Drosophila melanogaster: one gene and its partner. The protein of the gene in region 1 purifies or fractionates together with the protein of each later gene. This does not show direct contact. Each region holds a gene or a part of one and is shown in the gene's direction. Other genes may lie near its edges. The genes, in order: Slmap and Tlk.

Region 1 (8,291 bases):
CTTTGCTGAAAGCGCTTGGAGTGTGTCCAGTCTGACAATATCAGAAGATATCGTCCTCCAGGAAAGGTCTTGGCGTTAGTACCTGTTTTCGCCGTGATGCCAGACCGGGCTTCAGTCTGGGCGCCACACTACTACTGCCAGGAAGAGTCTTTCCTTTCCTTCGGGATCCAAGGAGAGTAGCCGTTGAAGGCAAATCCACTCGAACGGCGACAGTATCGATAATCCCGTATTTTAGCTGTCTTGTAGAGCTGGAAAAACATTGATGTTTACCTCCATCGATGTATCAATACATCGAAATTTTTAAGGGTGTTTTTTAATGTATTTTAGTCATTATCATATTAAAAATGAATACCAAAACTAAATCAAAATGGGTAAAAGTTCTTTATAAATTTAAAATTCATACTTTGGTGTTTTTATTGCCTGAAAATCAAAATGAAACTTAAAACTACTTTCTCGTCAAACACAAAAATTATAATGAAAAATGAATTCAATTTAAAAGAAAATAAAACAAACATCGATAAAGCTGCAAACTATAATTAAGATATGCACTCATTATACCCGTTACTCATAAAGTAAAAGGTTATACTAGATTCGTTGAAAAGTATGTCAGGCAGAAGGAAGCGTTTCCGACCATATAAAGTGTAAATATTCTAGATCAGGATCAATAGCCGAGTCTATCTGGCCTCTCTCCGTATGAACGTCGAGATCCCAGGAATTTTAAAAAGCTAGAACACAGAAAAAGACGCAGCGCAAGTTGGTTGACCCATGTTGCCACGCACACAAACCTGCCAGCCCCACTCTAACGCCCTAAAACCTCCCAAAAATGCCGCGCAAAACACACATTTTTAAACCTTTTTTCGATATTTTTTTCATAATTCTATTAGTCGCTAAAATTTATATCGATATGCCAAAAACTTTTTACACGCCTACTCTAACGACCAAAAGCCGTCAACCCGGTCACGCCCACAATTTTGAACAATTTGTAAACTTTAACCGTTGCATGCTCTAAAGGTTAAAGTATTGCCTTCAAATCCTCGAAAATGAATATTTTATTCGATATTTACGGCAATAACCAACCCTTTGAGAGTGTTCAGTCAAAGACACTACAATAATTCTTTATTATTCTAGAGACTTTGGTTCAGTAGAACAGTTGCGATAGCAACCTTTGTAATCAAAAATCGTTTCAGCAGGTAAAACGCGCCATTCCAACTGGATTTTCTATACATATATATTTTATTTTCTATAACCTATTTCTATTGTTTCAAACTATATGGGCGTTCATCAATTACTGTGCGGATTAAGTTTGCAATGTTTTCAGAAAAATAAGTTGTTTCGTCGAAATCCGAATCCGCGCAAGTCTGAGCCAATGTAGTAGCGTAGAGCACTTGTTTTCGATTCGTCAACGTTTCATTATTTTGTCAATAAATGACAGAATTGACTGCTGTTGCCTTTGTGGCAATTCACTGACTGTTAAATTAATATGTATCCTCATTACGTGGCAAGACAAGTTAGTATTATTCGCACTTGTTTGGTGTCTTGCCCCACTTAATACATTTGTCTGTCTTGCCATTAGCCGATTAGCTTAGCAAGATCTTTCCCTGCAAATGGTGATGGGTAAAACAGAAAAATCTAACATCGATGTCCGAAAATTTCGATGTTTCCGATTTTTTTTTAAATATCTATGTAGCGCTATCTCCGATGTTTCTTCCAGCTCTATTTTGTAGTTTGCGAGATCACAGCCTTCAGTCAGACAGACCGGACCTGATCGAATAGTGTTTATGATCAGGAGTACACTATACTTTAAGGTTCGGAAACACATTTTTATGCCGACTACAAACATACCCTTAACCTTTCTAGCATACGACATTGCTCTAAAACATTTTAAAATTCCGAAATCTCCTTTCTTATTATAACAATTTTAGAAAATTATTTGTTTCTTTTTATTGGAAATGTAATTGCAGAACATTTGTATGCCGACTACAAACATACTCTTAACCTTTCTAGCATACGACATTGCTCTAAAACATTTTAAAATTCTTAAATCTTATTTCTTATAAAAATTTTAGAAAATTATTGTTTGTATTTATTGGAAATGAAATTGCAGAATGGAATGGTTCTATCGTTGCATGTCAACATAGAAACTGGTATATGGTATATAAACTGGTATATTGTATATTATTATATACAATAATGCTTAGCGCTTTTTTCATCGTTCCGTGTTCATCACCAGTTGATTGTCGCTATTTTGACGGAAATATTTTAAGTATGCACACAAATTTACCGCGAAACCAGGTGTTTTTGTACAACAATTGTTCAAAGTTAAAGAAAACTAAAAAACACGGGTAGAAGGTTGCAACAATTAATACAGGAAAATTACAAAATTCCAAGGTAAGCCAAGCGTGCATTGTAAAATAAAGGTAAAAACGTTGCGCAATATCAAACATTTATATTATTGCGAATTTAATGTTCTTGAACTTAAGCGGTCCTCCCCGTACCATATAATTTATTTTTAAATCAAAAAAGTAAACAATTTCCAACCGTTCCAAACATTTTTAATGCCTGGTTTAAGTTGTCGTAATTAATCGGCACATCCTTAACTCGAAAATTGCTTAATTCATAAGAATGACCAACTAATGGCATAGTTTTTTGTTTACAATAATTCTTGAAAACATTGCTATTGAACGTACATATTTTTGTATCAAATGCAAATTCATTCTGTATGTATGTATGTATGTATGTATGCATTTACATATGTGTGTATATCTTATGTGGTCGGAAACCTTTTCAAATTTTCATCGGGAAAAGACAAATTTTATAGTTACATTAAATTAAAGCAGGCCTTTAAAATTTGGATTCATTGTCAATGTTTCGGCTAGTCGGATTTGTCAAACAGCAGCCACTCGTGTATTACTAATTACTAACTTGTTAATCCGCTTTTGTTCTCGTATCCCCAAAGGTTTGTTTGGATGTAAAGTAATGGTCTTGGTGTGCAATGAGTGGTTAAAAAATAATGTTGATGAAGACCAGACGTCAAGTTCATTATCGCCGACGCCAGCATCAGGAGCAGTCGGATCAACGGCATTAAACAGAACTGGCACAACCGACACGGCCACGGAATTACCTCAGACGACCAGATATCCATCCGGGGAAGAACCTGCTGTGAAGCCAGAGGAGGCGCAATACGCTTTAAACATGGAAACTGAAAAAAATTTGGAGCAGGACAATTTCTTTCATATAATGGACATAAAAGAAGATATGGCTGATAGTAACAACGAGGCGTCCACGAAGAACCAGGAAAATAATAATATGGAACTTTGTGATTCCAACACAGTATGTATTGACCGACGTCCGGCTGAAGTTTCCCAGCATGCTATGAATATGGCCATGAACTCTGTGCTGAATGCAAATAACACCGGGGTTGGAGTTCGAGTAACTACTGCCTGCAGTCTGTTTAGCCCACTAGGAGTACTAAACAATAGTGCTTTACAAAGGGAGGTGGCATCGGAATGCGGCACTTTACAAGTCTCTTCAGTGCCCCCAACTTCTGGCGTAGATCTAGACATAGGATTGGAGTCTGCCCCAACGCCATGTAAGGGTGCAGCAAAAATCGTACTCCTATGTGAACCAAAGTCGCACAAGTTTGAAACGAGATCTATATTGCTGCAGCCCAACCAGGATTGCAAGGTGGGCCGCCTTATAGCTAAAAGTAAGGCGGGTGAGGGGAACGCTATATTTGACTGTAAAGTATTGTCAAGAAACCATGCGATTTTGTGGTACACTCCAGACGGTAAATTCTGGGTCAAAGACACAAAATCCAGCAACGGTACCTTTATTAACGACAACAAGTTGGGTAGTGATCCAGCGGAACTACATTATGGCGATATTGTGAAGTTCGGCGTTGAGGTAATTGAGAATTCACGTCAGGAGGTACACGGGTGTATCCTGGCCCGTGTCGCCCTCTTTCTACCCAATGGACAAGAGGCCATTTCAGTTGAGGCAGAGCAGATGATGTTGACTGTGCCTAACCGAATCAGCTTTGATGAAGTGCAGCGCCTAAGCTCGTTCCTCCAAGAGGCTGCACAAAGGGAAAAATCTCTGAAAGCTAAATTAAGCAGCTTGCAAGGCGTCCTTGATAACACCAGAAAGAACTCTGCGATGTGTTGGCAAAGCATGATCACTGAAGACCAATTGCTTCACAAGATAAATATTCTGGAAAAGAAACTGCAAATGATGGAAAAGAACATTCCAGAGAATGCACTGCGAAACGAGGTAAGTCCCATTAGCGACCGATTAAAAAATTAAGCCTTTGTTTATTTTTTACAATTTTATCCTGTGATCCTGGACAACTATGAAAGCAAGAATACTGGTATTAAGCATGAAACTAAGCAAAACCTCAAAAACCTTTCACACGAACAATTAAAAAAGTTTGTTCATAAATACGTACACACCTTTCCGTTAGCCTGTATAACGGAATCTCTAAAAAACCATTTTTGCACACTTGTGTTTTCCTTTTAATTTAAAGATTTCAATATGCAAATTTTTAATAAATCTGTTTCCCAAACCGGACAAGATAAAATAAATTGAACCAAATCTTATAATGAATTGTCTTAACTACAAACATAATCAAAATGTTTAATGCACAAAAATTAAGCAAATCTGAATCTAAGCAATTTAATTCGGTCCCATCAAATTATATCTAGTGGTTGTGCCTTTAAAACAAAGCAGTATATAATGGCTTTAGAGTTTCATTTTGTTATTCATTCATTGATTCCTTCATTTTTATTATTTGAATACGCATTAATTATAATCATTTGTATAAGGTGTATTGTATTTTAATTGTGAGCAAATGGTATTTTGGTGCCACCGATTGGTGCCAGTGGAGTAATTTGTTATACATATTTTGTAAACGTTACTTTTTATTTGTTTCTAATTTTTAGGTTAAAGTATATTTTCTCTTTTTTTCTCAGTTTTTATATAACAGAAAAAATAAATCCTTAAACAAATTGTGCTTTGCTGACCCAATCCTCACATTTGATACGAACAGATCATTGCTATTATTTTTGTACAAAATAAGGGACTCCTATTTGATACCAAAAGCTGTTTCCCACCCCACACTTTCTAATTTACAGAATTAAAAGAGTTATATTCTAATGTATATACAGTTTGTCAAGAAACTGTTTACACACTGTGAAATAAGTTGAATTTTTGACTTTAAAGCTAAAAATAAAGGGTTTTTTGCTTAATTAAACGCAATTTTTTTATAAAATATAATTAAACAATATTTATTTTACTTATAAATCAAAAAACAAATTAAAAATATTAAATATACAAGAAAATAAACAACAAATTCCAAGTTTACACACTTTTGAGACTGTCAAGAAACTCTTTACACATTTTGTTTTCCTACTTTGTTTTGTTCTTTTTCTTAGAACGAACTCGATTTTTCCGTTATTTTTGGCTTTGCATTGCTTTTTACAACGCTTCTATTGAAATTTTGTTGACTTTGCTTGTGAAATTTTGCTGATCAAACGTGCTTAAAGCGAATTATTAAATTTAATAAAATGCCTGGAAAGAGATTAACTTTTAAAGTTACCCAATTAATAAACTATAACCACCAGTTGGGAAAATCTTTTCCAGAATTAGTATAAATGTTTCCTGTATCCCGTAAGACCGTCTACAATGTTTTAAAAGGCTCGGAAAAAGAGGGCAGGCTTGAACCTAAGAGTGGTGGTGGGCGGAAAATTAAAATTAAAAAGCGTGTAGACCGCTTTATTATGCGAATAGTGATTGCGAACCCCCGAATCTCGGTCAGATCACTTGCTCTGGATATCAGGCAAGAATGTCACCTAGCTGTGTCACACGAAACTGTGCTCCAAGTCATCCTACGCCATAGGTACTCTTCAAGAGTTGCAAGGAAAAACCCTTTGCTGTCAGATGCCAATATTGAAAAGCGTCATTTATTCGCTGTGAGCATGATAGATCATGCGGAAGAGTACTGGGATGACGTCATATTTGGTGACGAAACAAAAATGATGCTCTTTTATAACGACGGGCCAAGCAGAGTATGGCGCAAACCGTTGAGTGCGCTAGAAAAACAAAATATCATTCCAACGATAAAATTTGGAAAAATGTCACTGATGGTGTGGGGCTGTATCACCAGCCGTGGAGTGGGAAAACTAGCCTTAATTGAGAGCACAATAAATGCCGTGCAATATCTAGAAATGTTAGAAAACAAATTTGAAGGCCAGTGTAGAAAAAATTAGTCTGGTTAGCAACAACAAGCCAAATTTTAAGTTTTACCAAGACATGATCAGAAACATAAAGAGTGCAATGTACGCACCTGGCGCCTTAATAACTGTGGTAAAGTGATCGATACGCCCCCTCAGAGTCCTGATCTGAACCCCATTGAAAATTTGTGGACCTACTTAAAGAAGAAGGTGGCAAAAAGGGACCTAAAACACAACAACAGCTTATGACTGTAATAGTCGAAGAGTGTGAAAAGATCCCGTTTGAATATGACCTGCAAAAACTTGTCCAATCCATGAAAAAAAGGCTTCAACTTGTAGCTAAAGCCAATGGGGAACATACTACATACCAAAACTTTTAAAATTTTAATAAAATAATTAAAAAATTTAGGATTAAACTTCGATTTAGTGTTTTGTGTAAAGAGTTTCTTGACAGTCTCAAAAGTGTGTAAACTTGGAATTTGTTGTTTATTTTCTTGTATATTTAATATTTTTAATTTGTTTTTTGATTTATAAGTAAAATAAATATTGTTTAATAATATTTTATAAAAAAATTGCGTTTAATTAAGCAAAAAACCCTTTATTTTTAGCTTTAAAGTCAAAAAGTCAACTTATTTTACAGTGTGTAAACAGTTTCTTGACAAACTGTACATACATGTGCTCTAGGGCTCTAAAACAAAGAACTCATACAGAACGGTAAAAATACAGATAGGCAAGCAAATTGAGACCATACGAATATGCGATTTTAAACTTGTGCGTGAAATAAGACAAAACAACAAAAAGGTACCGAATACAGGAAATATTCTATAGCTCGAAAATTCAACCTTTTAGCTTTTTGAAAGAAATTAATATACCCTTATAAATGGGTTTAAAAAACTCGAAGAGGACCTTTTTCCGACTTAATGGTCAGTAGCTCCTTTGAATATTAAAATTTTGTCTGCAAAAAATTTTAAGTATATTTTGGTAAAATTTGATTTTTTTTTTTTAATATTTCTCTCTTTGTCTTCAATAGATTGTAAAGCTTCTTGAGGACAAAACAACGTACCAGTTGACTGCCAAAGAGGCCCTGCGGAAGGTCTACCAGGAACGCTGCGATGCTATGCAAATGCTCTCTAAGATGGAGATGGCCTACGCCACTTCTGAAAACGAGTGCGGCATACTTCGCGCTCAAGTTCTAACACTAAAGCAGACGCTGACTGATTTCAATACCCGGTTAGAGGAACTTCAGCAGGAGTACATGGAATTCAAGAAGGAGTCAGTGCGCCAAGAACAAGAGGCTAAAGAGCAAGAATCACGCAGCTTAGAGGTGCTAAATGGAAAGCTGACGACGCAGGAGCTCGAGCTTAAGGAGCTTCGTCTGCAGGTCTCGCGAATCCATCGCGATTTATCTGAGTCTGATACTGAACATTTGAAGGAGCGAATTGTCTTAAAAAACTTAGATACAATAAATCTTGACGATTATGACCACGCTCAAGATAGAGCGCTAAATGAAAGGGATGATAATGAAAGTTCTGACGATGATATTTTGTCTGTGTCACCAGCTAAAAATGTGTTGTCTGAAACGAAAAAAAGGGTAATGCTTATAGCAGTCTTAATGCTATTATATATTAATATATTCCTATTTAATTCTAGAAGCTAAAACTAAGTAATCCCGATTTAGAAGAAGGCAATTATAAATCGAACGTCTTAAGATTGCTAAAGAACTCCGATCTTGGCAAGGGAGAAGAAGGATCTTCAGTGCTTAAAGCTATTTTTAATGGTGACGATGAAGCCTTTGAATGCAAAGTTAAGGAGGAGGAGGATATGGCAAACGATTCAGTTCCAACAGAGTTCGTTAGCAGAAATACATCCGAAATCGTGGATCACTTTAAAAACCATTCTTCAACTACACATACAATTTTAGAGGATTCGGCTGCAACGAAATTGTCAGCCCCTAATGCGGAAAGTAAGGAAAAGCTTGTAGACGTTGAGGAAAATCTTAATATTCCAAATGCATTACCGACGGAGCAGGCAATTGATATGTTACAAGAGGAATGTGATACGTAC
Region 2 (5,287 bases), on another chromosome or scaffold:
TTTTCGGGTTTTGCTTCTCAGTTTGCTCTTTATTTGCCTTAGCGCTGCATTGTTTGTTCTAATTAAATCTTATCTAAACAATTTTAAGCACAAATTGTTTCAATGGCAATAAAAAGTAGAAAAAATCACAAAAGCTCGGCGAGAGCTCACAGCAAAGTCGAGGGCAATGTTCTAAAGCAAAGGCTATATAATAAGCGCACCTCGATAGATTTTCCCATACCCACTATACATACATACATATATTGTACATTTGGTTACAAAATAAAATAAAAAAAAAAGCAAACTGCAAGATAAGGGAAGGGGAGAATCCGAGGGGCACACAAAAATGTGAGAATCAAAATCAATAACTCAATAGGCATTCGAAAAGGAAAACAGAAATAAGCGCAAAGCGAAGCAGATTCGTTCAATAAATAATGCGTATACGCTTCTATATACATATGTATGTTACATATACATACATACATTTTATATATATGTATGCCGATTTACAGGGAAACAAACGGGTTGTGTTTAACCCACAGCCAAAAGGCAATCGAAGGCGGCTATCCTGACTTCTGGCTTCTCAGTCTTGGCTTTTGCTGGCTGGCTCTCCGTTCGAATCGACTGGACTATGACAGTCAGCCGATAAAGATGATCGGGCCTAAGAGTCGGTCAAATAATGTCGGTGGTTGGCAGGGGTGGGGTGTGTACCCTGAGTCGAGTTGAGTCACCAACTACACTACATGCCCCATGCTCTAAACATGCGCTCATCCCCAGAATCGTAATTTGTGCCTCATTTATACACACAATTTCAATGACAAATCGATTGAGGTGCTCAGTTTGCCGATTTCTGGTTTATATTTATAAAACCGATTGGTAATCTACGCGGAATGGCAAATACATACATACATACATACATACATACGTTTAGAAGGAAACACAAAATCGCAAATAGCGCTAATCAAGTTGGAATTGCAACAAACCCCATAATTGAATAAGATTTGTATTGTACATACATATATTTTACAAATGTATATTTATGTTTTTTTCTATGCCTTTTTGGTAGTACCTTGCTGCTACCTTGTTGGAAATATATGGGGAATGTGGCTCCGAGAATACACAATCTCTGGTGTATTCCCCACTTTTTCAGCTGCTTCCTCTGCATTCGTTATCTTTCTCTTTGTGTACATAATATACTTGCTTTCACATACATATGTATGTCCATACATATATGTTTGTATATGTACGTAACACATTTTCCCGTTGATAAGAATAATGAAGTTAACTTATAGAGCCATTCCGTTTCCGATTCAATCCGCAGTTCGATTCTTCGCTTTTTCATCACTTAATTCGCGCTTTTTTATTACAATAAATTCCATTTTTTTTTATCAATTTGTATAAATAAATGTCCTACGGATTTAGAAAAACCAGTTCTGCTGGCTTAAGCGATGATTTTATAATGTTTTTCAAGAGCGATGAATTATGAAACTGCAGGGATAGTATAGGATGTATGTATGTATGAATGTATTATGCCCCATCTTTTCGATACCTATTTATTTAGATCTCGCTCTTTTCTCTGCCCTCTTGAATACCTCTAAAAATAAACTAATTTCCCCTGCAGTTTCGTTTTAATTTTATTTTTTTTTAAGTCCTAAACAATTCCATTCTGCTAAGAATTGAAATTTTTGTCAAGATTTCTCACCTATGAATGTACACATCATGGGTATTGGATGTATTCATGAATGCTAGAAAAAAAATGTAACAAAATGGGGAATATTATTCATTCCAACAGATGCGGTAATGTTTCTGTTCTTGCTCCCTTGCCTTGTTTTTTATTTACTTTTTTTTTGGCAATTTTCGGTTTGTTTTGCTTTGCCGGGTATATTTATACATTTGCGATAAACAAAATATGTATATTCACGACGACAATGTCGATTACCTCATATGAAATATTTGACTCGGCCAGCAAATAAGAAGCGTATTTAACAATATGACACGCCCCTCGCCCGTCGTCTGGCCCAAACGCCCAATCCCAATAATATCGGTGACTTATGCTTAACTTTGGAAGCCTAATAATTCAACACAAGTCCATTTAGAATTAATTTTCGACATTTATTTTTTGAACTTTGACATTGTAATGTTTTCACTGAGGATTTGATAGGGTATTCAACTTTTCGTCTTTTGCTTTCAATCCGTCATTCGTGAGTTTTTATTTTGTGCGAATTTTCTGTTCTGTCGCCTTTTATTATTATTACTACAGTTTTATATATTTTTTTGTGTGAAGCGTACTCTGCCGACGTCGCTGCCACTGCCAGCGCTGTCGCTTTGACGATTTGCGCTTTGCGTTGCGCTTACTCACAATCAAATCTCACGCCGCATTTTTAGTCTCAATAATAACTGAAACGAAAAACACGCGCAGCCGAAACGAAGCGCAAACCAAAGAGTAAAGCGAAAGAAGCAAGGAAGGCAAACGGCGAACAAAAACGCAAAACGAAAACGACGACACGTCGTCAAACGTCAGTTGCCTTTTATTTATTTTATTCCGCCACTCTTTCCTCTGTGTCCGTTCATTTTCTTTTGTTCAATTTCTTTATTTGCGAGTGTTCGTATGTGTATGAATGTGTGTGCTGATTGTTTTTGCATTTCGCGTTTGCTCAAATAGTAAATTAAACTGTTTTTAAGTTATCCACAAAAAAAGGGTCGGGGAGGGTGTGAAAAATAGAGGAGACGAGAGCAACTCGTTCTTCGTCACTCGCTGCGTTTTTTGTTGTCGTGGGTCGCCGTCTTTTCCACTGACTGGGTCGCTCTCTTTCTCTCTTATCCCCTTCTCACACCTCATTTGCCTGTTCTTGTTATAGTTGTATTTGTTGGTTCAGCATAATTAGACGACTCTGCGAGAGTAACAGTGCTGTCAGTTCAACGGTTTTCCCCGCCAGATCTAATTGTAAGACAAATTAAATTTACCATTAGAATTTACATACTTTTATTGGCGTCGAAATGAAAAAAATATTAGGTCGATTTTGTTATACAAACCGATATAATTGTTATTTCTATATAAGATATGAGCTTCCAAATCCATCCATATTTTTTAAATATTTATTCCAAATGAAGCACATAAAATTATATTGAGCAACACTATTGCTCTCCACTTTTCATTGTGCTGTTTTGTTTTTGGCCCTCTTTGCCTCTCCCACATGAGGTTCTCTATGTTTTTTTCGCCATTGTTGTGTTTCTACATTCGCGGCATGTTAATTTGTTGATTCTCGTTCTCAATGCTTTTTTGTAGGTTTCTTTTGTTTTATTTGTCATACTCGCCGTTTGTTATCAAAAGGGAAACAACAAAAGGCCAACGACAAGCAAAGGCAAACAGATAAACGTCGAAAGCTTGTCGCATATTTAAGGTATTTGCCTGGTTTCATCTCATAAAGCTTTTAAACATTCTAACTAGTTATGCTTTCCATTCGTTCCGTCTTCTTTTTTCTAATTGATTACGCGATTTTTATAGAATTTCTGATCGGAAATGCCGAATTAAAGTCTAATTAGGGGGGTATGCAGAAAATGTAGAAAATGTATTTATCAAATAATTTTTCTTATCTTTTTCGGTTGACCCAGATGATTGAAATCGTATAAAATTCTTTTAAATCTTGACTTTTAACGTGTTCGATAACATATCCCTTCATATGTTTGTTCGTGATTTTTTCAATCTTTTTTCACCTCGTCTTCTTTATCTATCAGTGTCTCTGTTTTGCTCACTTTGCTTTGCTATTTTTCTGATTGTGCGACAACTGCTTAACAATTCACAATTATGTACATACATACATATGTATGTACGTATAGATCTACAGTAAATCCTGGTATTGTATTCATTGTGTCGCCCCAAATTTTATGAATTTTTTGTAACATCAAAGACAACACAAATAGTAGATCTAGAAACTATCTACAAGATCAAAAAGATCTTTTTTGGAATTGTGTTTATTTCTTTTAGATAGATTAAATAACTCGCGTTTGTTTTGAGGAGACTTTACTGTCGTTTCGTGTGCACATCTGACTATGTAGTGTCCGTGTGTATTTGTTGATTGACTCAACTTGACGACGGAGACACACGCGCGCCCAATTCACAAAACTTTTGTTTTATACACCGAATCTTTTATTTTCTGTTTTCTTATTTGTTATGCTGCGTGATTACGTCAGCTGGCATTTGGTTTTTAATTTTCGAAGGCCTGGGAAAGCATATGCACATACAAACACACAAACACTCTCTAACTAACTCACTCATATGCAAAAAAAAAGGAGAAAACAGGTACATAAAAGTGTGTAGAAAAATTTAATCATTTTGCTCTGGCACAGTTGTTGTTGACTTGTTTCTGGTGAAAGTTTCACAAATCAAATGGAGGAAAAATCAGCGACGAATCGCAAAAAAGTGCAACACAACTCATCCATTAAAAAGTAAAAATCGCTGAAAAATCCTAAAGAAAATAAAAAAAAGGAAGAAACCAGGGAAAATTGCAGATTTGAGTTCATTGATTTTCTTTTGCTTGTGAAAATCCGAAATATGCAAAAATGAGTGTTTTACCTATGACCAATACATACGTATGTATGTACACCATCTACACCAATGACTTTATTTGTGTATGTGCAAATTTAATTTATCTTCTCCCTTAATATATCCCAAAACGAATGAAAAAAATAGACAGAGAATGTATAAAAGTGCCCACAGCCCCGCATTATTTCTCTGTCTCGTTTTTTTTTTGTCCCCCTCTCTGTCTTGCTTCATCACCTGTCATTGGCAAGGCAACCGTTAGCTTGCATTTTGTCGGCGAAGTAACGGCACAAGTATTGCCTTCTCTCTTTCATTTACAATATTGGCGAAAATACTACAAAATGATTCGATATTTTTTTTTATTAAAAAGTGTCATCATTTTCAGTTTTATTGTTCTTATTTATTTCTCCTAAAAACGTCGTAAAGTTTATGTACATACATGACCATACATATCTATTAATCCATAAACAATAGTTTTGTTGTGGCTATAATTGTGATTAAACAGCACTGAAACAAATTAATACGAGGGTTTTATTTGTTGCGGTTGCTTTCGATTACGAAATGTACATACATGTGTATGTATGTGTGTATGTGTATATGCGTTTTGTATGTGTTAACATTTGCATTCTTAACGTGAGCTGCGCAAGTTGAACGAAATAATAAATGCAGCCATCAAAAAATAAAAAGTCAAACGAAGCTAATAGATTTGGATATAAAAATTATTTAAACTACATATGTATGTGAAATGATTTACAGATATACCCTGAA

What was found.
Region 2: the proteins of Slmap (region 1) and Tlk purify together in Drosophila melanogaster (affinity purification with mass spectrometry, with the first as the bait; one large-scale study listed by BioGRID). This does not show direct contact.

What each region holds. Positions count from the first base shown.
Region 1 is NT_033779.5:22,576,865-22,585,155, forward strand, and holds the start of Slmap (sarcolemma associated protein), read left to right. Parts: upstream 1-2,207; 5' UTR 2,208-2,388; intron 2,389-2,885; exon of another isoform or gene 2,886-2,956; 5' UTR 2,957-2,976; coding exon 2,977-4,269; intron 4,270-7,257; coding exon 7,258-7,818; intron 7,819-7,877; coding exon 7,878-8,291.
Region 2 is NC_004354.4:3,770,540-3,775,826, forward strand, and holds the start of Tlk (Tousled-like kinase), read left to right. Parts: upstream 1-2,100; 5' UTR 2,101-2,495; intron 2,496-5,275; 5' UTR 5,276-5,287.